Nothobranchius furzeri: one gene and its partner. Each later gene encodes a partner of the first gene's protein in a complex. Links are inferred from orthologs where the notes say so. Each region holds a gene or a part of one and is shown on either strand. Other genes may lie near its edges.

What was found. The genes of interacting proteins can lie anywhere in the genome.
Region 2: synrg (region 1) and aftpha share a complex: the UniProt entries of both Homo sapiens proteins name them as parts of the aftiphilin/p200/gamma-synergin complex. The link is inferred for Nothobranchius furzeri from reciprocal best matches to the Homo sapiens genes SYNRG and AFTPH.

The regions. Positions count from the first base shown.
Region 1 is NC_091753.1:55,100,642-55,105,852, forward strand, and holds part of synrg (synergin gamma), read right to left. Parts: intron 4,784-5,211; coding exon 4,659-4,783; intron 4,554-4,658; coding exon 4,491-4,553; intron 3,812-4,490; coding exon 2,873-3,811; intron 1-2,872. UniProt on the Homo sapiens protein: Plays a role in endocytosis and/or membrane trafficking at the trans-Golgi network (TGN). May act by linking the adapter protein complex AP-1 to other proteins. Component of clathrin-coated vesicles.
Region 2 is NC_091746.1:29,670,317-29,676,219, reverse strand, and holds the start of aftpha (aftiphilin a), read right to left. Parts: upstream 3,520-5,903; 5' UTR 3,330-3,519; exon of another isoform or gene 3,264-3,329; intron 1,551-3,263; 5' UTR 1,515-1,550; coding exon 51-1,514; intron 1-50. Other genes in the region: uncharacterized protein, read right to left, coding at 5,359-5,903. UniProt on the Homo sapiens protein: Component of clathrin-coated vesicles.

The DNA of each region.
Region 1 (5,211 bases):
GACTTTTTTTTTCTTAACCATTGATTGCAAAAATGGGAACCTTAACGGACTTCTTATATCTGATTTTTCTCTAGTGATACATAGACTACCTAATCTTAAACTGACATTAGTCGATTAACCATTAACTTGTTCACTACCGTTGACGAATAGTCGTCATTTGCACGTTTTTACTGTGTGGGCGTCGGACGAGCCCCCGCACTGTAAGAACAAACACCCCAGCTCTAAAGCCGATCTTCAACCGCGTACGTCACACGTCACATGATCAGGAAGCAGAAAATCCATGTGTTAGGAGATCGTTTTGGGCCGCTGATGTAAAAAAAAAAGTGAGGCGCGAACCGGAAAAGCTTCTGCCGATCACAATTCAACAACGGATTTTGAAAGAACAGATAACGCTCGATATGTGCGAATTCTTCCTGATGTAAGAGGTGAGTCTCCTCTTTGTTTCGGTTGTTTTGGCGTCGACATCATCCCAAGCCCCCAGAATGTGGGTGAAAAATTGAGGCCAACGCGGAATTGAAATAAATTGCAGTTCCACCCTCATCCACTAGGGGCTGGTGTCAGAAGCGAGCAAATCCTCATTGACTTCCATGTTAAAAATACCAATTTCACAGCAGAAATTAACATGTTTACAGCCTGGTACCAAAACATGTTTTTGGTTTAAATGATCTAGTTTACACTCATGACAACTCTGAGGGGGGTGGATTGTTTTCTCACTCTTCTGTTTAAGTGTATTAAAAGCCTAAAATTCTGTATAATTAATGAGCATCAGACCCACGTGACCACAGAGCTAGCTCTGTGGAAAGGCCTCAGTTGAGCCTCAGTCTGGCCTGGAAACTGTTCTGGGATTTTCAGTCTCTGTGTTTGTGTATTATTTTTGGGATATTATTTGTGCAATTGTTGGACAAAATGACTTGCTGTGGCATTAATTGCACTAATAGAGCGTCCAAGGAGTCTCCACTTCATTTTTCGGTAAGTAAAATTATATTTATGTATTTTAGGTCACTGCCGAGCTGAGCTTAGATTTTAACATGTACTGTTTAACCATGAAATTTAAATGTAATAGGGTAAAACCCAGTGCATTTAACATAATGCTGCACTTTAGAAAATGGGTTGAAATATAACATGTTGGTGGAGCTGGGTTCCGACTATCGGCTTGTGGAGCTCTCGGGAGACCTCTGTGTTCCACCCGGTTTTACCCAGCGGTCAGCCCGGCGTATCTCTGACTCAGAAGCTCTGGTGTTGTGCACAGTTAACTCCGGTTGTAGCTAGGTTGCTACCTCCATTAGCTTAGCTCCCACCTCCGCGTTAGCTTTGGGTTAGCTTCAGGTTAGCTTGTAGCTAGTTCAACCGGGTGTCGTCAGTTGATCCCAGCCTTACAGCCCCACCCTCAGCTCCACCTCTCTTCCCTTTTGTGGAATTGTCTGGGCTTGACGGAACCTGTGACACGGTCAAAATGGCCGTGGTGGCCACCTCCCATTTTTCTTCAAAAATGTGTTACTGGAGCCTATGGAAACCCATTGTCCAATATTTATATGTCGATGCATCATCCTAGCGCGAAACGTTCTGTGACTCTTAAAAAAAACAGTAAAAACGGTGAGAAACTCTGGCAGCGAATTAGTTAATAACTGAACCTTAACTAAGTCTTAAAAGAGAACTAGGCAGTTTTGGCATGCTTATACCACCCTCTAGTGTCCATTTGTGGAACTGAAAGCTGTGCGTTCATCTCCATAGCACATTCATCTAACAGCTGAAACATCGGCCAGCCTTCATTAGTGTCTACAAGAGTGATCGTCACTAAATTAGACAAATCAGCTGTTTTCATGATCTAAAACGTGAAGGAAACGTGCTGGAAGCAGACTGCAGCACCAGGTATGTCAGCTCCATTTTTTCTAAGTCCCAATAGAGCGGCCGCCAGTCTGAAGTTGCAAGCGGAATATTCTGGCCACAGGGGGCGAGGGGCTGGGTGGCCTTTCTTTAACCCTGTAAAGGGTCATTTTAACACATTCTGGCTCAAGAAAATTATTTTAAAACATGAAAAAGTTTCAAAGTGTTGCTTTAAGTAAAATTTGACTCTAAGAAGATGAAAAATCCGACGGCCCAGCTAGAATCTCGTAAGTAAATAATCAACAGCAGAGTTGATGCGGTAATTCTGACACGTGCACTCGGATCTGACATGATGCTGCAGACACCAGCAACCGTTAAACATTTAGTGTTGCATGCAGAATCTCTCATCAACAACAACAACCTTTTGTGATATTTTCTGCCTCCGAGCAAACAGCCGCTGAATCAACCTTTGAGGCGACGCTTCAGGAAATGTGTGACGCGTGTGCAAAAAAGGTGTGATCTGAATAAACGGGGATCCTCACAGCTGACCAACTCCCGCGCTCCTCGGAGTCCAGCCGGGCCTCCTGCTCCACGCGTGGACTACGCGCCCTTACGCTGCGTCTGCTGCAGCGCCGCCAACAACACACCAGCAGCTTATTGGAGCCAAACGCAGCTGTAAACCACGACTAACGCCTCAGAACCCAACGCTCGTTATTTCTACATAAACAGATCCGTCACCACAATATGAACGAATGGGATGTCATTAAAAAGAGGAGAAAATATAAATAAATAAACGAATGAATGAATGAATTAATGAATGACTGATGGGATGTAAGATGAAAATGATGCTTCTAATCTGATATGTTTTAGTGTTTTCATCTGGATTTGGTCATATTCCATTGGACAGGGACCCATTCCTTGCCCTTTGACCTTTAGCTTGGCGGTTTGTACTGTAAGTGGCTCCGCTGGGGGGGGGGCTGGCCGGCTGCAGTAAAACCCGTGTGCGGCTGAACGGAGCCTCACCAGAGCAAACGCACTAGTTCCTCACCTGTAGCGGGGGGCTGGTGTGCCGAGAGACCCGGCAAATCCAGAGAGCTGTCTGACATCACATGCTTTAGGTCTCCGCCCATGTCCGACAGCTTCATGTCCAGCTGAACTGAGAGTGCGTCCTCCGAGTCGTCCTTCCCAACGCTGCTGCCGCCGATGGACGGAAGGTCGAGGGACTTGACGGAGGCGGAGTCTTCCTTGCCGTGTTTGAACGCAGCCACTTTGTCCACTAGAGTCTTTTCCGACGCACCGAGCGCCGTGCAGAACTTCGACGACTGAAAGTCGGCAAAGTCATCCGTGTCGCTCTTGAGCGACGAGAAGGATCCGCCGCCGCTCTCCTTTGTGTCGTCGTAGGAAAGGCCTCCTTCCAGAGACAGCTGTTTGAACACGTCGTACCTGTCGGCGCCCTGCTGAGACTGCTTCGCGGAGGTCTCCCCTCGGACCCCCGTGCTGCTCTCACCTTTCGGCTCTCCACCAGAACTGCCAAACGCCATGAAGTCTGCAAAGTCATCCTGAGGCGCTGCTGCAGCTCCTCCTGCTGCTGAAGCCTGAGCCGTGTCAGAGGAGGGGCCAAAGAGGGCAAAGTCACCAAAATCATCCGTGCCTCCCGCTGGAGGCTTGGCTCCGCCGGGCAGGAGCACTAAAGAAGGAGGCACGGATGCAGAAGGGAATGTACCGGGCTTGGTCTCGGTGGACGCAGGAGCAGGGGGAGCCACCGAGGAGAAAAGGTCCAGGTCGGCCATGTTGAGAGGGTTTTTGGACTGAGATGCCGACGCTGCAGGCTGCTGTACATTCTGAGAGTTTGGGAAAGCTGAGGGGAAGGCAGGCTGAAAGATCTTGGTGGGATCTGGGGGGTCTAGTGGAGAGACGCTGTCGGCAGTTTTAAAGTCTGTGAAGCCGTCGTCGGTGTTGATGGACTTAAAATCTGCAAATCCTTCCCCTGGAAACCAAAAGATAGTAGATGAGTTGGACATAAAAAACCAAACAACAGAACAGCAAACAATGTTGTTTGTTATCCTCTAAGAAAGGAAGCCAGTCACAGAAACGCCTTTATGGACCGTGGCCTCAGAGAGAGCAGAAGACATGCTTCTAACAACACGACCACGCAGCAGACAAGTAAGAAACCCAAACAGCAAAAATGATCATCCTCAGTTTTATTCTTGATCTTCAAAAAGCCAAAATCAACCAGATGAACATTTTTGGGCAAGTCAGAACAAACTTTCACTTCGTTGTGTTGCAAAACCAAGAAACGAGACAGGAGTCGGGTAAAAACCACTGAGGAGTGATAGATGCGGTCTGTTCACACCGGCGGTGGAAGAGAGATAACTAATAGGCTCATTAGAGAGGATGGAGCCTGGCAATGCCAAAGAAAGGTCACTGCAAAGCACGACTTACTGGAGATGTAAGAGCAGCCCCCATCGGAATCTGTTCTAATGAAACACGGACGGGAAATACACTCAGATCACCACTCCGGGCTCACAAACATCCACTCTAAAACTTCAGATCAATAGTTTTATTCCCCAAAGAGGTGAAACACTCAGAATCTATGGCTGAATTTACTAGAAACGTTTGAGATGATGACAGAGATTACAGCGAGGAGGAGAAGGTGTGTTCCTTACCAACAGGTTTCCTGTCAGCGGGTTGCTCCAGCTGTCTGAACACGCTGTACTTGTCACCAACATCTGAACAGAAAGTTGTACAACAGTCACGAACCGTTTTAACATGAGTCACGGGCCACGGCTGTGACGTACGGCCCCAGATTGGAGCGCCGTGGGAGTTTGATTCACCTGATGTGGGGGGCGTCGGCTCTGCGGGCTGATCTTCAGACAGCTGCTTGAACACAGCGTACTTATCGGTGGACGTGACAGAGGAAGAGGAGGAGCCAGACACTGGAGTCAGCATGGCCGGAGTGCTGTTCAAACACAAAAGCTCACTTCAGACGAGAGGAGTGAACGAGCTTTACCCTCTAGCAGACGTCGGAGATGATTTTAATGTTTAAAAGGTTTTTAATAAACTCGCTGTGGTCTCTGGCTTGAACGAACGCCTTGTGGGAGAAAAGCCTTGGCGCTCCTGTTTCAGGAAGGAGAAGTTTATCAGAGGAGTCTTACTCCTTAATTTTCATGATATACAAATGTCTGTCCTCTGATTGGCTAACAGAAACACCACCCTTCCGTGGCCTTCGTTCACTTTTCTTTCTTGGATAAAGCCTAATTTATACTTCTGCGTCTGCGTCGGGACCAAGCCCCCACAATACGGGTCTGAAAATGAGGCCAACACGGAAGTGACAAAAATTGCAGTTTCACCCTCATCCACTAGGGGCTGGTGTCAGAAGCGAGCAAA
Region 2 (5,903 bases), on another chromosome or scaffold:
CTAGAAACCAGGAGAGCCTCCCAGACAACCCAGTTTGACCAGGTTCCTACCAGCTGTGTGTCGGTCCGGCCTGGTCCGCTAGCTGCAGGAGATCCTTCTTCGTGCCCCTCTCCCCCTTTCCTCTCAGGAGGGGGAGCAGGGCTGGACTCAGTGCTGAATGATGCCCAGGACTCCTCCTCTGGCTCCTGCTGCTCCCCAAAGGCCCTCCACCCAGAATCCTCCTCTGCTCCTACAGCCGAACTGAAATTCCCAAAACTGGAGCTGGCAGGAAAGTCTGGGAATTCTGCCTCTTCACCCCCCGCCTCACCCTCATTCCCAATGCTGTGGATTTTGGGAGAGTTAAAGTCTCCGAAGTCGTCGTCCTGCTCTGTGCTGACATCTAGTCCAGCAGCAGGGTCCTGCCCCTGATCCTGCTGCACCTCCCCAAAGCCCTGTCCTCCAAAGACGGCAGCATCACCAAAGTCTCCAAAGTCCTCATCATCCTCTGCAGGAGTGGCTGTGTCCCCCTGGAGAGGCGGAGACGGCACCGATCCCGTGGTGCTCATGTCACCGTATTCCTCCAGGGCTTCGGTGGACAGAGGCCGACCAAATGATGTCTCCGTCTCCGAGCTTTTCTCATCTGACTGTCCCACCTCACTGTCAGCTGTCAGGTCAGGTGAAAGGTCATCAACAGCGCCCCCAGCTGCCTCGTTAGATCCGTCCACCATACTAAAGGCGAGACAGTCATTAGTGCAATCAGTCTCTGAGCGTTCCGGTCTCAGGTCCCTTTGTAGTGAGTCAGCAATCCACCCGTCTGATGTCTCCCTAGTGTCCCTGTCCTCTGATCCCTGCTCTGTGATACTGTCCTGATTGTGGACGGCAGCTTTTGGCAGCCAGCCACCTGCTGTGAGATTGTCCCTGTTCTCATCCACCACCTGGCTCAAATGTCCTTCAGAGGTGGAAAAAGCAGCAAAATCTGCAAACTCGTCCTCCGAGCTGCCGGTGTGGACGCTTCTCGTGTCCTCAGTGAACTGTCCTTTTATCAGAGAGTGGACAGAAATCTGTGAGGACAGGCTTTCCTGAACATCAAAGGTCACAAACCCATTAGTCAGCACCCCAGTGTCTCCACCGTTACACTCAGTGGACTCACTGTCCTCCATGTTGCTCACAGATAAGTCCAGCGAGCAGGAGACAGGTTTCTTAGTCTCAGTTCTGTCTGAGGGACAATTGTCTTGGTAGTTTATGGGTCCCACACCGTTAGCCTTGGGTAGCTCAGTACCAGGTCTGCAGGTTCCGTTAGCAGGTCCGTGGCTGAAGCCCACTACCCCCCTGCTGCTGAGGAGCTCAGGAGGCGAGGTGGCGGTGAGCGCGTGTGTCTGGTCGAACGTCGTCGGGGTGTCAAACTCAGAGAGGCTGATGCTGTTTGGAACACTGGAGAAGGTCCCAAAGTCTCCAAACTCTTCATCCTCCTCCTCTGCGCCGTCCTCCATTGGCGGTGGCGAGGAGGAGTAAATGCGGATAACATCCGGCTCCATGACTCCGTGGAGGTCAGCGAGCGATCTGGGCTACACCTGCAACAGAGACAGGAAGTCATCAGTAAGCTGCAGAGTTAGCAACATGCTAACAGGCAGAGTTCAGATTGGACGATTAGACAACTATAACAAAGTATTTTGAGCTGTGAGAATAATTTACTTTGTGTGTGTGTGTGTGTGTGTGTGTCCTCTGGGTCATTATAGCAGCATATTTTGCATTCAGTTCCATATTTTGATCTAAATCTTTGTTTTATTTTAAACACAAACAGAAGAAGCTTCACTGGAGAAAACTGATAAACAGGGATTGATGGGGCTCTAGGGTGTCTCTGGTTTCTACCAGGTGTGTTTTACCTGAGCGATGACTAACCTACACACAACAGGAGGCAACATTCAGAAGAGAGTGTAGATTTTACGTTTGGGTATAAACATTCTACAGAACTTGTTGGGGTGTTTCTAAAACTGTTCTATTATTTTTTTGCAGAGTCGAAGTAAATATATGTTAGAATAGATGCTACAACTAGAGCTGGACAACTATTCAATGAGAGGTGTGATAAATAAACGAGTCTCCTTTCTTTTTTCACTACAGCCTATTGGGTAGGTTAATGCCAGAGTCATTACTTTGTCTCAACCAATCAAAAACACCGACCCAGGCATGCTCTGTCACCAAGACCTGGCCTCTCAAACCTAACTTTGACTTAAAGATGTCACAACAAGGACGGGTGGAAGAAAATGTCCCCAAAAAAAAAGTCCCAGTAGTTCACCAGCATGGCACGGTCTAGAAAAAACAAACAAGGGTTGTTTGCTAAATCTGCAGAGGCAGGATAAAAATCAAGTCTTGTAACACAACTAATGACAAATAATCACCAGGGCTGCAATTATGGTTAGCAATAATTATCTATATAAATATAAAATTATTTCATCAGTGTTTTTGTCTATATTGCCCGGCCCTAGTTACAACCATGCTCACTCAGGGAGCTGGTCAGAGACCCATCAGCTGATTCTACAACTTTCATCCACTAAGTTTGTTGGTTTATTTACAAAGTCCAGCAGGTAAATAAGGTGTTTGTTTTGTGTCAGAACTGAATAAAAGTCGGAGCTCTCAGTAGCTTTTTCAGGAACTGTTACCTTTTAACATCTACCTGAAACAGAAAACTGGCGTTGGGAGGAGCTAGAACACCTGTAGGCAGGTACACAGAGCTGGAACACGAACCTGCAAGTCCAGTATAACTGGTCACCCAGCAGGAAGAGGAGAGTGCTCTGATGGAAACTGATCCGAGACCAGTGTCCGGACTGAAAGTCACCTGTCTGAGCTGATTCGGGGTTTAATGACAGCAGCTGTTAGTGAGCCAGCACATCCTGCTCACCTGTGTCACAACTTCTCACCGTTTCTGACACTTCATCTGTCAGCCACTAACGGGGAGGCTAACCGAACCTTACCCAGACTGATTATCAGGCTGACAGAGGGAGTTTTTACATGAAAAACAGAAACAAGTCGATATGTAGGGCTTGGTTTACAAACTCTGACCACCAGAGCTCGGGTCCAGCTGGGCTAGGCTACAGGCCGAGACACCAAAACAAGCTGCTAGCTTAGCTAAATTAGCCTGTGGAGTGACAGAAAAACGAACTAACCAACATTAAGACCCACAGTAACCAGGCCGGTTATGGTCTTTTAAAGAAACAATCTGGATCAACTCTGTTGAAATCCGCTGCTAAAGGCAGCACATTAGCTGTTAGCTCAGCAACGAAGCCTACCCGGAGCTAGCTTCAGCGTTAGCCCCTAGGCTAGCTTCGTCTGACCGGACCACCAGTGGGTCTCACCGTGAGACGCCGGCCAAGAGAGTCCATGGCTCGGGTCAAAACAACGCTGTCCACAGGTGGTCGGGTTCGGCCAGCCGGACTGGGTGGGACGGCGGGGCGCGAAGGTGGAGTCAGCCGGCTGCCTCTTCTCTTCTCCTGCTATCCTGCCTCGAATCCTCCCAGCATGCACCGCTCCCAGCCTGCTTGCGTCTCTAAACTTTCCAGGTGAAACAGGTAGTTTACGGAGCCGTGCACGGGATCGAAATTCTCTAAAAAGGCTGATTCCTCCCAGAATCAACCCGTTACACACTCAGTCCACATGGTACCGATAACAGTCCAACTTTCTCCTGCTGTCTGTGGCAGAAGTCAAAGAAACTGCAAAAGCAGCCTGTGTGGAGCCCTGGCGGTGACGCTCATGATCTCAGAGAAAAATGGACCAATTCCACAATTTGAATCAGTTTGTGGTTTCTGTGCAGGATTAAACGTGGTAATACTCTCTAGATCTAAACAAGTGTTTTTTATTTTTTGTATTTTACAGTCAAATAAAATTATAAGAACGTCTAGAACATATCAAGAGTGTTTAGGGTTTCTCCACACAGATTATGTTGGTCTGTTAATCTCAATAAACTGGTGGCATTAATAAATGTACTTTAAACAGTTGTGTTTGGTTTAGCTTTTGTAACTGTTGGCAGTGACAAACAATATCTCAGACAATTAAAACACTGTGAAAAGGTTCTAGGTTAAAAGTGTCACATTCTAATCAGCTAATGAATCCATAACACCTGCAGATGGTTCCTGAGCGCTCAGATGGTCTCTAAGCTGAACTACTAAAATAAATGGACTTTAGCACCATTACAGTTTCACCTGTAGACTCTATCCCGGGTCCCGGGTCAGCTCTCTGAAGGACATGCCTGAAACACTGCTCATCTTGGTGCCTCCACTCGGACTCTTGTGGATGTCTGAGCTCTTCAGCCTAAGCCTCATTTACACCAAGTGCGGAATGAATGTGGACCGGAATCTGTGCAGCATCTCGACGGACTGCCACGTACACGGACTGCAGATTGTGTGCAGAACATCTCATCTGATGTGAAAAGCATTTGAAAGATGTTGGTAGCCAAATGCAGCTGAGTAGCTGAGTGGGAATCATTAGCAGGTTATTTGGTCTGTTGTAAACAAACGAGGGTTTGTTAGTCATCCAAAGCGGAAAAAATGGCCACCTCAGCTATTCTTCAAAGTGCATGTTCTCACTCAGTCTATCCCGTTTTCCTCTTTCCTCAGTTGGGCGCACCATCACAACTCACCACCAAGTGCTCCTGGCAGGAGGGAGGCTGTTCTGGTGGTGAGCTCTGACAGCGCTACCAGCCAGCCAATGACACGACAGCAAGAAGTCGGCTGAGGCTCTGAGGAAGACTGAAATAAATGCAGTTGAAACTGTCGGCAGGTATAACATCTCTGAAACCACGTTTATCTTACTGAATGAAAAAAAGATGCGTTACAAAACCTAAACAAACTCATTTAATGAATTAATCACACTGTACCTTAACATCACATCCTATATTTACAGTGCAGGCTATGACTTGAAGGGATTCTTGTGAGGTTAGAGAAAACATTTTGCAGGTCACTCACTACACAAATGAGAACTATATACATTCACATTATGTTATCAGTCTGATTCTGGATTGAGCTCAGCAACTGCTTGCCCAGGTTTTCACCAAGGGACCGTCGCCGTCGTCTTCCTCCGCTTGTCCGGTTCCGGGTCGCGGGGGCAGCATCCCAACTAGGGAGCTCCAGACCGTCCTCTCCCCGGCCACCTCCACCAGCTCCTCCGGCAGGACCCCAAGGCGTTCCCGGACCAGATTGGAGATGTAACCTCTCCAACGTGTCCTGGGTCGACCCGGGGGCCTCCTGCCGGCAGGACATGCCCGAAACACCTCCCCAGGGAGGCGTCCAGGAGGCATCCTGACCAGATGCCCAAACCACCTCAACTGGCTCCTTTCGATGCGGAGGAGCAGCGGCTCTACTCCGAGTCCCTCCCGAATGTCCGAGCTCCTCACCCTATCTCTAAGGAGGAGATTTCATAATTCACCAAAAGACAGGCGACAGCAAAGAGTTGGTTAATGTCGCCTGTGATTGAAAAGGGGATCACGGTGCTGAATAGTTTGTGTTCTTTAACCCTGCGAATCACACGCTCAACATGGACTCTCAGTCTCACAATGGACCGTGTCTTTCTGATCTCTGGCCTTGACAGTTGAGCTCTCTGCGACAGAAACGTGGGTATGTGGACGTTGCATGGAACACAGTCTTCAACAAGGAAACCCTTGCCCACCATGATGGCCTTTGATGGGTTCAGGAGGGCCGCAATGCCTGACTGCTTTAAGATCTCTTTATCACTGGTGGCACCTTGATAAAGAGAAGACACAAATGTCGCTGCACCATGAGGGGCTATCCCAGTCAACCCTCTGAATGTACAGTGCGGTTTGTAGTTTGAAAACACCTCGCTCTGGAGGAGGAGGGAATTTGGGGTTTGGCATCGCAGTTCTGTGCAATCTAAAATGACCCGAGTGTCAGCGTAACCCTGGAACACATCTGGGAGGT